Linked DNA regions of Neurospora crassa OR74A. The protein of the gene in region 2 interacts with the protein of the main gene of each other region in a biochemical or structural test. Links are inferred from orthologs where the notes say so. Each region holds a gene or a part of one and is shown on either strand. Other genes may lie near its edges. The genes, in order: Bml and NCU04581.

Evidence for each region.
Region 1: the proteins of NCU04581 (region 2) and Bml form a complex in vitro, tested with the Saccharomyces cerevisiae proteins (2 studies listed by BioGRID, with this or other methods). The link is inferred for Neurospora crassa OR74A from reciprocal best matches to the Saccharomyces cerevisiae genes KAR3 and TUB2.

The regions. Positions count from the first base shown.
Region 1 is NC_026506.1:2,581,357-2,585,813, reverse strand, and holds Bml (tubulin beta chain), read right to left. Parts: upstream 2,950-4,457; 5' UTR 2,749-2,949; coding exon 2,737-2,748; intron 2,496-2,736; coding exon 2,472-2,495; intron 2,398-2,471; coding exon 2,372-2,397; intron 2,304-2,371; coding exon 2,262-2,303; intron 2,197-2,261; coding exon 2,142-2,196; intron 2,069-2,141; coding exon 1,278-2,068; intron 1,221-1,277; coding exon 827-1,220; 3' UTR 299-826; downstream 1-298. UniProt on the Saccharomyces cerevisiae protein: Tubulin is the major constituent of microtubules, a cylinder consisting of laterally associated linear protofilaments composed of alpha- and beta-tubulin heterodimers.
Region 2 is NC_026505.1:1,612,215-1,616,592, forward strand, and holds the start of NCU04581 (kinesin), read right to left. Parts: upstream 3,109-4,378; 5' UTR 2,932-3,108; coding exon 2,896-2,931; intron 2,788-2,895; coding exon 2,622-2,787; intron 2,498-2,621; coding exon 2,352-2,497; intron 2,138-2,351; coding exon 1,852-2,137; intron 1,333-1,851; coding exon 1,207-1,332; intron 1,157-1,206; coding exon 1-1,156. Other genes in the region: NCU04580 (vacuolar protein sorting protein Vps66), read right to left, coding at 4,006-4,378. UniProt on the Saccharomyces cerevisiae protein: Minus end-directed microtubule (MT) motor involved in spindle midzone assembly, poleward transport of newly captured kinetochores along the lateral side of MTs, karyogamy (nuclear fusion) during mating, and with an essential function in meiosis I.

The DNA.
Region 1 (4,457 bases), on a different chromosome or scaffold from region 2:
CAATTGCCCGACCATTCTACCTATCACAGCAGTCAGTTGAACTTTCACACCTAACTGCGCTTTCCACATCCTATCTGAAGTCAAGTGCTCAGTACTACCTAGGCAGTTGGGTAAATGGAGACTTTCCATAATGGGCTTGTAAGACAGTTCACTTGGACTTGGTGTTCTGTTGTGGCTTTCGGTCTTGCAAAATACTCACTGCGAGAAGCTGGGAATCTTATCACTGACTCTGTTGACCATGTCTGGTTCTCGCCCTTCCTTGGTTACATTACATGACTCAACGCACATGAAAAAGTGGGCGAACATTTGAGTATCTAAAAGTCACCGACTGCCTTTTCGCCGCTGCCGCGTAACAGCTATTATGTCAGGGATAATTATGATAATCCCTGATCTACGTAGATCTGTCGCATCTTCCGCAAGCTAGTTACAAGTATACCGCACAACACAGACATAGTCCCCCAAAACTAAGGACTCTTGATACATCTCACGCTCCCATAGTTACAGAGTGCGTAGAGAGAAAGCTTGGCCAGCAGTAGACACTTGGAATCTAAACAGACATTATCATCATCATGCAACATGCATGTACTGTCTGATGTATTAAGAGTATAGGGGTCAACAACTAGAGTGTCTGACAGGTATATCTAGCAGTTTGATTTGACCATTCTTTTATTAAAACACTGTAACCCGCAACGAAGAACTCCTCCGCTTCAAGTCAAGAATGCGCATATGTGCGTAAAATCGACAAGCCCGGCGGCATTCCACCGAGCAGGGTATTGCCTTTGGCACTTTACGTGCGCAGAGGAGCCTGAATGTTGAGTGGAATGATTTACTCCTCGCCCTCAAGGGGGGCCTCCTCCTCGTACTCCTCCTCCTCCTCGTCAACACCAGCATCCTGGTACTGCTGGTACTCGGAGACGAGATCGTTCATGTTGGACTCAGCCTCAGTGAACTCCATCTCGTCCATACCCTCACCAGTGTACCAATGCAAGAAAGCCTTGCGCCTGAACATGGCAGTGAACTGCTCGCCGATACGCTTGAAGAGCTCCTGGATGGCGGTGGAGTTACCGACGAAGGTGGAGGACATCTTGAGACCGCGGGGAGGGATAGAGCAGAGGGCAGTCTGGACGTTGTTGGGGATCCACTCGACGAAGTAGGAAGAGTTCTTGTTCTGAACGTTGCGCATCTGGTCCTCAACCTCCTTCATGGAGACCTTGCCACGGCTGTTTGATTCGTCAGTATTAGTGGTCAAAAGCAGCATTCCATGATCAGCAACTTACAAGATGGCAGAGCAGGTGAGGTAACGACCGTTGCGGAAGTCAGAAGCAGCCATCATGTTCTTGGGGTCGAACATCTGCTGGGTCAACTCGGGCACGGAGACGGCACGGAAGTGGTGGGCGCCGCGGCTGGTAAGGGGAGCGAAGCCGACCATGAAGAAGTGGAGACGGGGGAAGGGAACCATGTTGACGGCGAGCTTGCGGAGATCGGAGTTCAGCTGGCCGGGGAAACGGAGGGAGACGGTGACACCGGACATGACGGCGGAGACGAGGTGGTTAAGATCGCCGTAAGAGGGGTTGGAGAGCTTGAGGGTCCTCATGCAAATGTCGTAAAGCGCCTCGTTGTCAATGCAGAAGGTCTCGTCGGAGTTCTCAACGAGCTGATGGACGGAGAGGGTGGCGTTGTAGGGCTCGACAACGGTATCGGAGACCTTGGGGGAGGGCACGACGGAGAAGGTAGCCATCATGCGGTCGGGGAACTCCTCACGAATCTTGGAGATAAGGAGGGTACCCATACCGGCACCGGTACCACCACCGAGGGAGTGGGTGATCTGGAAGCCCTGGAGGCAGTCGCAGCCCTCAGCCTCGCGACGGACGACATCGAGAACCTGGTCAACAAGCTCAGCACCCTCAGTGTAGTGACCCTTGGCCCAGTTGTTGCCAGCACCGGACTGGCCGAAGACGAAGTTATCGGGGCGGAAGAGCTGGCCGAAGGGACCGGCGCGAACGGCGTCCATGGTACCGGGCTCGAGATCGACGAGGACGGCACGAGGGACATACTTGTTGCCGGAAGCCTGTCAAGCGCGAAGCTAGTTAGCGAGCGAATTCTCGAGGAGGGGGAGATCGTCGAGACCGGTTGTTGCTCACCTCGTTGAAGTAGACGTTCATGCGCTCGAGCTGGAGCTCAGAGGTGCCATTGTACCTGTAGTGGGCGGTGAGCTTTCGAGGCCATCACCAGATATGGTTATTGGGCACGAGGTTACGTACACACCGGAGGCATCGAGGCCGTGCTCGCCGGAGATAGTCTGCCTGTTTATTCTGTCAGCGTCGGGCTCCCTCGCTCAAAGGTGTGGTTGTTCGCGATGATGACGACGTACCAGAAAGCAGCACCGATTTGGTTACCCTGATCGTGGCTGTTGTGTTAGTCCTGCTGTTGTTGTTGGATCGCGACGGGGGTGGAAGCCATCATCGACTTACGCATTGGCCGGTTTGGAGATGAACCTATAGCACGTGAAGAAATCGTGTCAGCGTCGATGTCCATAATACTCGCGATAGATGGCAGTCCGCGATGGCGAGAAAGCGAGCAGGATCATAATGAGTCGGGCAGCAGTAGGTAGAGGCACAGAAGGGGACGAGGCAGTTTGGTGGGGTAGAGCAATCAGGGGTCTCTTGGGAGGGAAAGAGAAAAAAAAGAGGGATTGCTCTGCGTGCGCGGCACAGTAGGCATCAGAGGGAGACTTACAATTTCACGCATCTTGACGGTTTGGTGATGACGAACACGGGTCTATGTGGAGGTTGAAGGCAGAAAGATGGAAGAGCAAAAAGATGGAAGTGGTGATAAAGCCGACGCGGATAGACGAAGACGACGGAGGTCGGTGAAAGTGGAGAGGTTTGATGTCTGGCCTAGGGGAGACTGGGAAGTCTTGGGAGTGGAAAGGGAGATTTGTTGATTTTTGGTGCAAGAAATGAGCGGGCCACAGCCGGCCAGCACCAGCTTCTCGTTCACCGCCGCCGCCGCTCGCCGGGCTGCTGCTGGGTTGCCGGGGCGCTTGCCAAAGTGGGGACATCAGGCACTGTCAAACTTTTGGAAGGGTGGAAGGCCCCCTGTCGACTCGGTTTGGGTGGTCCCTGCACTCTGGCTCGGTTCCTCACGCGTTGACCTCCAAAAACCGCCAAAGACAAACCTCCCCCAGCTGTCTCTCGGGGCCAGCGCGACGCGCTAGTCTGCTTCTGGTTGGCTGGCAGAGTTGGCAGGCAAAACCAGCCGGGCGGCGGGTCCCACATGCTCCTGCCAATGTGGGGTAAGTCGCCAGCTCGAGACCGCTGTCGAACTGTCGCAACCTCCAATTGGATTTGGCTGTTGGTTTTGGGCACGACTCGGTCACTGGCCCGGCCAGACTTGGGAGATCAGGAACAGCATCGCGACTCGTAGGGGGCTACATTCACATCCATTGTTGAGCCCGACCTGCAAATTACCTAGCTGGAGATCAGGGAAAAACAGACACATAGATGGAAACTCCTCAATTCGACGCGGCATTATACACTAGTATAGTTGATGCCATCCATGACTTCCACTTACAAAGGAACAAGGGAAGCAAGCTACCCCTCCATCTCGGCACGCTTCAAGCTTCGTAGCTTACGGTAGTGTACGGGGTACTGTATGGGCCTGCTGATTGGCAATTTGGGGTAGTAGTGTACCTTGATTGCCAACTGCCCGCAGAAGGGAAGGATGAGCCCGCTCTCCTGAACCTGGTCGCATATCATTTATCGAACAAAACACCGGAAGTTGGGATTGGGAAAAAGGAGATCTCATTCACCCAAATAACGAAAGGATCGCTCGTTACTTGTACCTTACATTGAGCAGTACACTAGAAATATGTAGGTCCACTGCATTGCAGCAGCCATGCAACATTTCGCTGTCGCCTATGATGGCAGGGATGATGACCTTCATTTCCCCATCTTCTTGTCAGTCAGGTGTACATGTAAACAAAGTTGAGGGGACAGAGACAAAAGAAGGATGGAGCTGGACAAGCACGGAATGCTCCCCAACATATACGGAATCAGAATATGAAAGTTGTAGATAGACATTGACATATTAATTTAACTAGAAGAATGATCAACCCGTTCATGAGGCTATTTCATGACTTGATCATTGCTGTTGATGGCTTTTTTTTGCCATGCTGTGCGTAGGGTATGCTTCCGCTTGCTCCACCCCCGTGTGTTCGTTTTTATTTGTTTTCCCTCCCTCCATTCCCCATTTCACAACCTAACCCAGAAGCAATGCAAATGGTATAAGGAAGTGCTGCTGATGCTCAAGGAAGATCCCGCCATGCAAGAAAACAAGAACGATGAATAAGCCGCACGCCCTGCTATGCCATGGCCATTATGTCCCCATACATTTTCCTGCTTTTTCCTCTCTCCTCATTACAGTAGAGCAGTGCGACCCGCCTTGCTGTCGCATCC
Region 2 (4,378 bases):
CTGTTGTTGCTGCTGCCGTCGAGCAGGTCGTTCAACTCTTCGTTGTATACCTCGACGAAACTACCCTCCATGGTGTACGTCCACGACTTCTCCCTAAGTTTCGTTATGGTATCGTATATCATGTGGGTGGCTCGCGGGATCATGCCATCTGGAGACGACATAGTGTACGTCTTGCCAGAACCGGTTTGGCCGTAGCAAAAGATACACACGTTGTAGCCGTCCAAAGCGCTCTGTACCAGCTGAGAGATCTCGTCGAAGATTTCCTCGTTGTGGACTGACGGAGCAAAGACTCGGTCGAATTCGAAGGGGAGCACCTTGCGGTTGATGTTTCCAAAGCTACTCTTTTCCTCGAGCCCGGTCACTTCAATCTGTGCGGACGACGTTTTGGCGTCGGGGAACATAATCTTGGCCTCGCTGCCTTCGGATTTGCCGAGTGCAGGACGGACTCTGCACATGACCCGGATATTGCCTTTGAGCTCCTGGTACTTGTTGAACAATATCCGCCTCTCCGTCTCCTCCTTGATGAGCTTCTGTTTGGCGTTCTCCGCGATTTCCAGGGCCTCCCGAAGCCGTGCCTCCATCTGTGCAAACGAATCCGACTGTTGCTTGCTATCAGATTCAAGGAAGTCAATCTGCGCCCGAAGTCCTTGGTTCCGGGCTTCCAGTTTCCCATTTGTTGTCGCCATCTCATTGATCTGTTCCTGCAACGCCCTTTTGTTTTTTTGCTCTTGGCTCAGTTCTGACCGCAGATCGTCCAGTTGAGATTGCAGTTGCCGTAGTTCTCGTTCTTTCTCCAAGAGCGATTTGTTGATATCCTGCTGTTCTGCCCCAAGCTTCAGCCGCAAGTCTTGGACCTCCTTTGCCGCCTTTGCCTTTTCACCCTCCAGATCTGCCCGACATTGCCTCTCAAAAGCGTCCTTTTCCTCGCGGTTGATTCGTTGCAGTCGTTCGCTTTCCTGTTTCAACTTTCTCTGTAATTCTTGGACTTCATGTTCATGCTCTCTTGACTTGTTCTGAAGTTGATATTCATGGTCCATCTTCTGTCTTTCCAGTGTGAGGGTCAGTTGTTGGAACTGTTGTCGCAACGCATCCATCTCCTTCTGCAGCAGTTCGTTTCTCTCGTTCAGTTTTTGTCGTTCCGCCTCAAGTGTGTCCACTAGTAGGTGTCAGTCAGCCTGGCGTGTTTGTATACTTGCTGCCACGTACCTTGATTCTTTGCCATCTGAACGGCCGTTTCCATGGCCTTCTTGTCTTGCAAAGATATGCTGAAAGCCTCCTTCATCACCTTCCATTCCGCATCAACCTCGTTGAGCCGCTCGTCGACGTCAATGCCTGTGAATGCGGTGTTATTAGAATCCTTGGTGAGAAAAGAAAGCTTGACAGGTGAAACGGATTTTCGGGTCGAGGCAGTTCTGTGAGCGGAGACGACGGCAGAGTTGAGAATGACCTCGAAACGCTCCATAGCCGCACGGGGGTCTTCCAATCTTGACTTTGCTTTAGGGGTCTCCGGGTACGCCGTTGTCGACTGTTGGAGAGAGGACTTGCGTCGTGCGGGTACGGCTCCTTCGGTTCTTCGTCTGGGTCTTCTAGCAGGCTCCGCCTTAGCATCCGACTAAGACGCTTGGGAGGCGGGCTGCGAAGTCTTTCGAGGCGTCACTTGACTCCCGCTGGGGATGTTCTCCTTCTCATCACAGATCGACAAGTCCTGCAGGCGCCTGCTCAGACCCGAAACAGCCCTTTCCTTCTCTTGCTCTTTACCCGACGTTGAGTATCGTGGTGAAGGAGATCCCCGTGTCTTCTTAGGCTTGACTTTGGGTCCGGGGACGGGTATAGAAGATAGAAATTCCGTACCATTAGGCGGCTGGGTAGGCGCCGGCTGTGAAGGCGCTACGCTAACGTCTCTCGAAGGTCCATGGCCGCTCATCGATGTTGCTGGTCGTGGCTTGGAAATGGATCGCGATCGATTTGTGGGCTGGTTGAAGCTGGGTTGTCGTAATCCTGTTACAGGTGGTCGGCTTGAAGGACCCAAACTCTTTGTGAAGCTGGATGGGTTTGTCGAGGAGTAAGTTGGCCGATGACCAGTCGCCGAGCTTGCGCGCGGGAGCGCCGTTGCCGTCGTTTTGTTCGCATTTCGGGCCTAGAGAGACATCAAGTCAGAACTGACCTAAGCCATATCGACGCGCATAATTGATCCCACAGTGGCCATCCTTCGAAAGCACCGGGAAACGGTGTGTCACGCGACAGTATGGGATTTGTGTTGTGGAAGGTGGCCGGGCTTGTCGTAAAATCAATTTGAAGATGGCAAACAAGACTCAGAATGTATGGTGCTGATGGGCGGAGGTTGGACCTACATTAGCCAACTGAACGATTGATGCGCCGGATATGGTGCCTGTGAGAAAGGCGCTGGTGGGCGTTGGCGCTGGTAAATGGGACTTTGGCTGGATAGGCTCGCCGGCCCTCTCGGCGAGGGTTTTTCGTTTCGCATCAGGCGGGGCGACTGAAGAACATGGCGTGTTAGCCATCGAGGCCATGGACAATGGCATGGACAAAGCCATGATGTATGTGGTGGGTGTTTGATCTAGCTGGTAAACAAGACGAAGCAGGTGGAGGGGATGTCTTACCACCGCTGTCGTTTGCGGCGCGCTTCGTGGGTATGGACGACATTTGCGCTCGCGCGTTGCTCTGGGAGTCGGAGATCTCTTTGAGGCCGGTGGGAGCAGTCGCGGTGGCCGTGGCGGCGTAGGTGGTTGGAAGTCGCAACTTGGTCGAGGCTGGGTTAAGGGCGTTCTACAATTTTCGATAAGCGGGCTGCCCTGCTTCTCCATCTTATCGCAGTAGGGAAATGATGGAACAATCAAGACACAACGAAGTGTTTTAGACAGCTGTGATACGTACCCTGTTCTCGGAGCTCTCCATGGCGAGCGTGCGCATGCGAGGGATGATGTTGTTCACCAGCACACACGAGCCGAGCAGCAACGCCCCAGATGTCGAGGATAGTGATGGCGCCGTTGTGAAAGTCGTTCAGTACCTAGTCATGCGCCTTCAGCGACGGCGTGCCGGCTCCAGAGCGTCGATTGGCGTACAAGCGGCGGTTGAGTGGGACTTCCACTTGCGAGTTGGGCCCGGTCCTGGCCCTGCATCGCTTTGTTTACTTCACCACGGCAACCATTTCTCCCAGCGCTATGTCCAATCGTTCGACCTCGACCAAGCGGGCGAGCGGGGCCCACAGTGTGCAGGTGCCATCTTAGGCCACGGGACGGTACGTACCTGCTTGTTCCTTGCGCTAGACCATTCTCTGCAGCGCCAAGACATCTGCTCTCCTTTCGGTCTTCATTGTCCCGACCTTGCAATGTTTCTTGCACTAAACAGCCACAACCTTTTATCACAGAATCTTCGACAAGTGTCCGATTCTGTTTCAATACTCTGATTGGTTCTAATCCTGCTTCACATAGGTTATTAGGACGGGAAATGTTACAAGCCGATACTCTCATGTTTCGAAGACAATGGTTTTGGACACCACGATGTCCAGACTCAGGTAAAGCTCGCCTATCTCGCTCATGCATCCATCGCGTACCCCGAAAAACAAAGCACTTTGTAGGCCCATATTCCTTTCTTGGGCCAGCATGCAGTGGTTCTTTACATGTTGGTTCAGCGGGCAAGCCAAACAACGCTTTGGACGTTTTGAGATGTTCCCTCACTGGTCGAGAGTCTTGAACGATGACCATATAATCTCGCCAACATCTGCCTACTTCAGGGCAACGCATCTTAGTACTTCTCCTATTCTACCGTCACTGTGATCTGGTGTGTTATATCAGTCATGAATGCTGGAGTATCCTGTGCGCAGTTAAAAGATGACAGCTCCTACGCGCGATTCAATGTCCAACTACACGTCAGAGAGATTTCTATCCCTGACGAGTGAAACCAAATCATCCTCATTAACCTCATTAACCGTTCTCCCAAACCCCTCATATATACCTCAATCCCTTTTCCTCCATCCCACACCATCTACCTCCTCCTCTTCTCCCAAGCCTTCACAAAGTTCTTCTTGTCCTCCACAGTCAACCCAACTCTCTTCGCCCTACCCAACCTCGCCAACGTCTCCGCCACCTTATCCAAAAGCCTCTGCTCCTCGGCCGTCAACTCTCCATCCCCTCCCTCTTGCCTTTCGCGGACATCCACCCCCGAGCTCTCCCCATGTGAAACACCATTGCTAGCCCCTACGGTATTAACCAGCCCCTCGCCAATGCGAATCCTGATACAGTGCGTCGGCCTAGCCAGCAACTTCCACAGAAAGCTCAACCACACCTTCACTCCCCCAGGAACCGGGGTGGTGTCGTCAACGGGGGTATACCGCAAGCTGAGCGGGAAGATCTGCGTC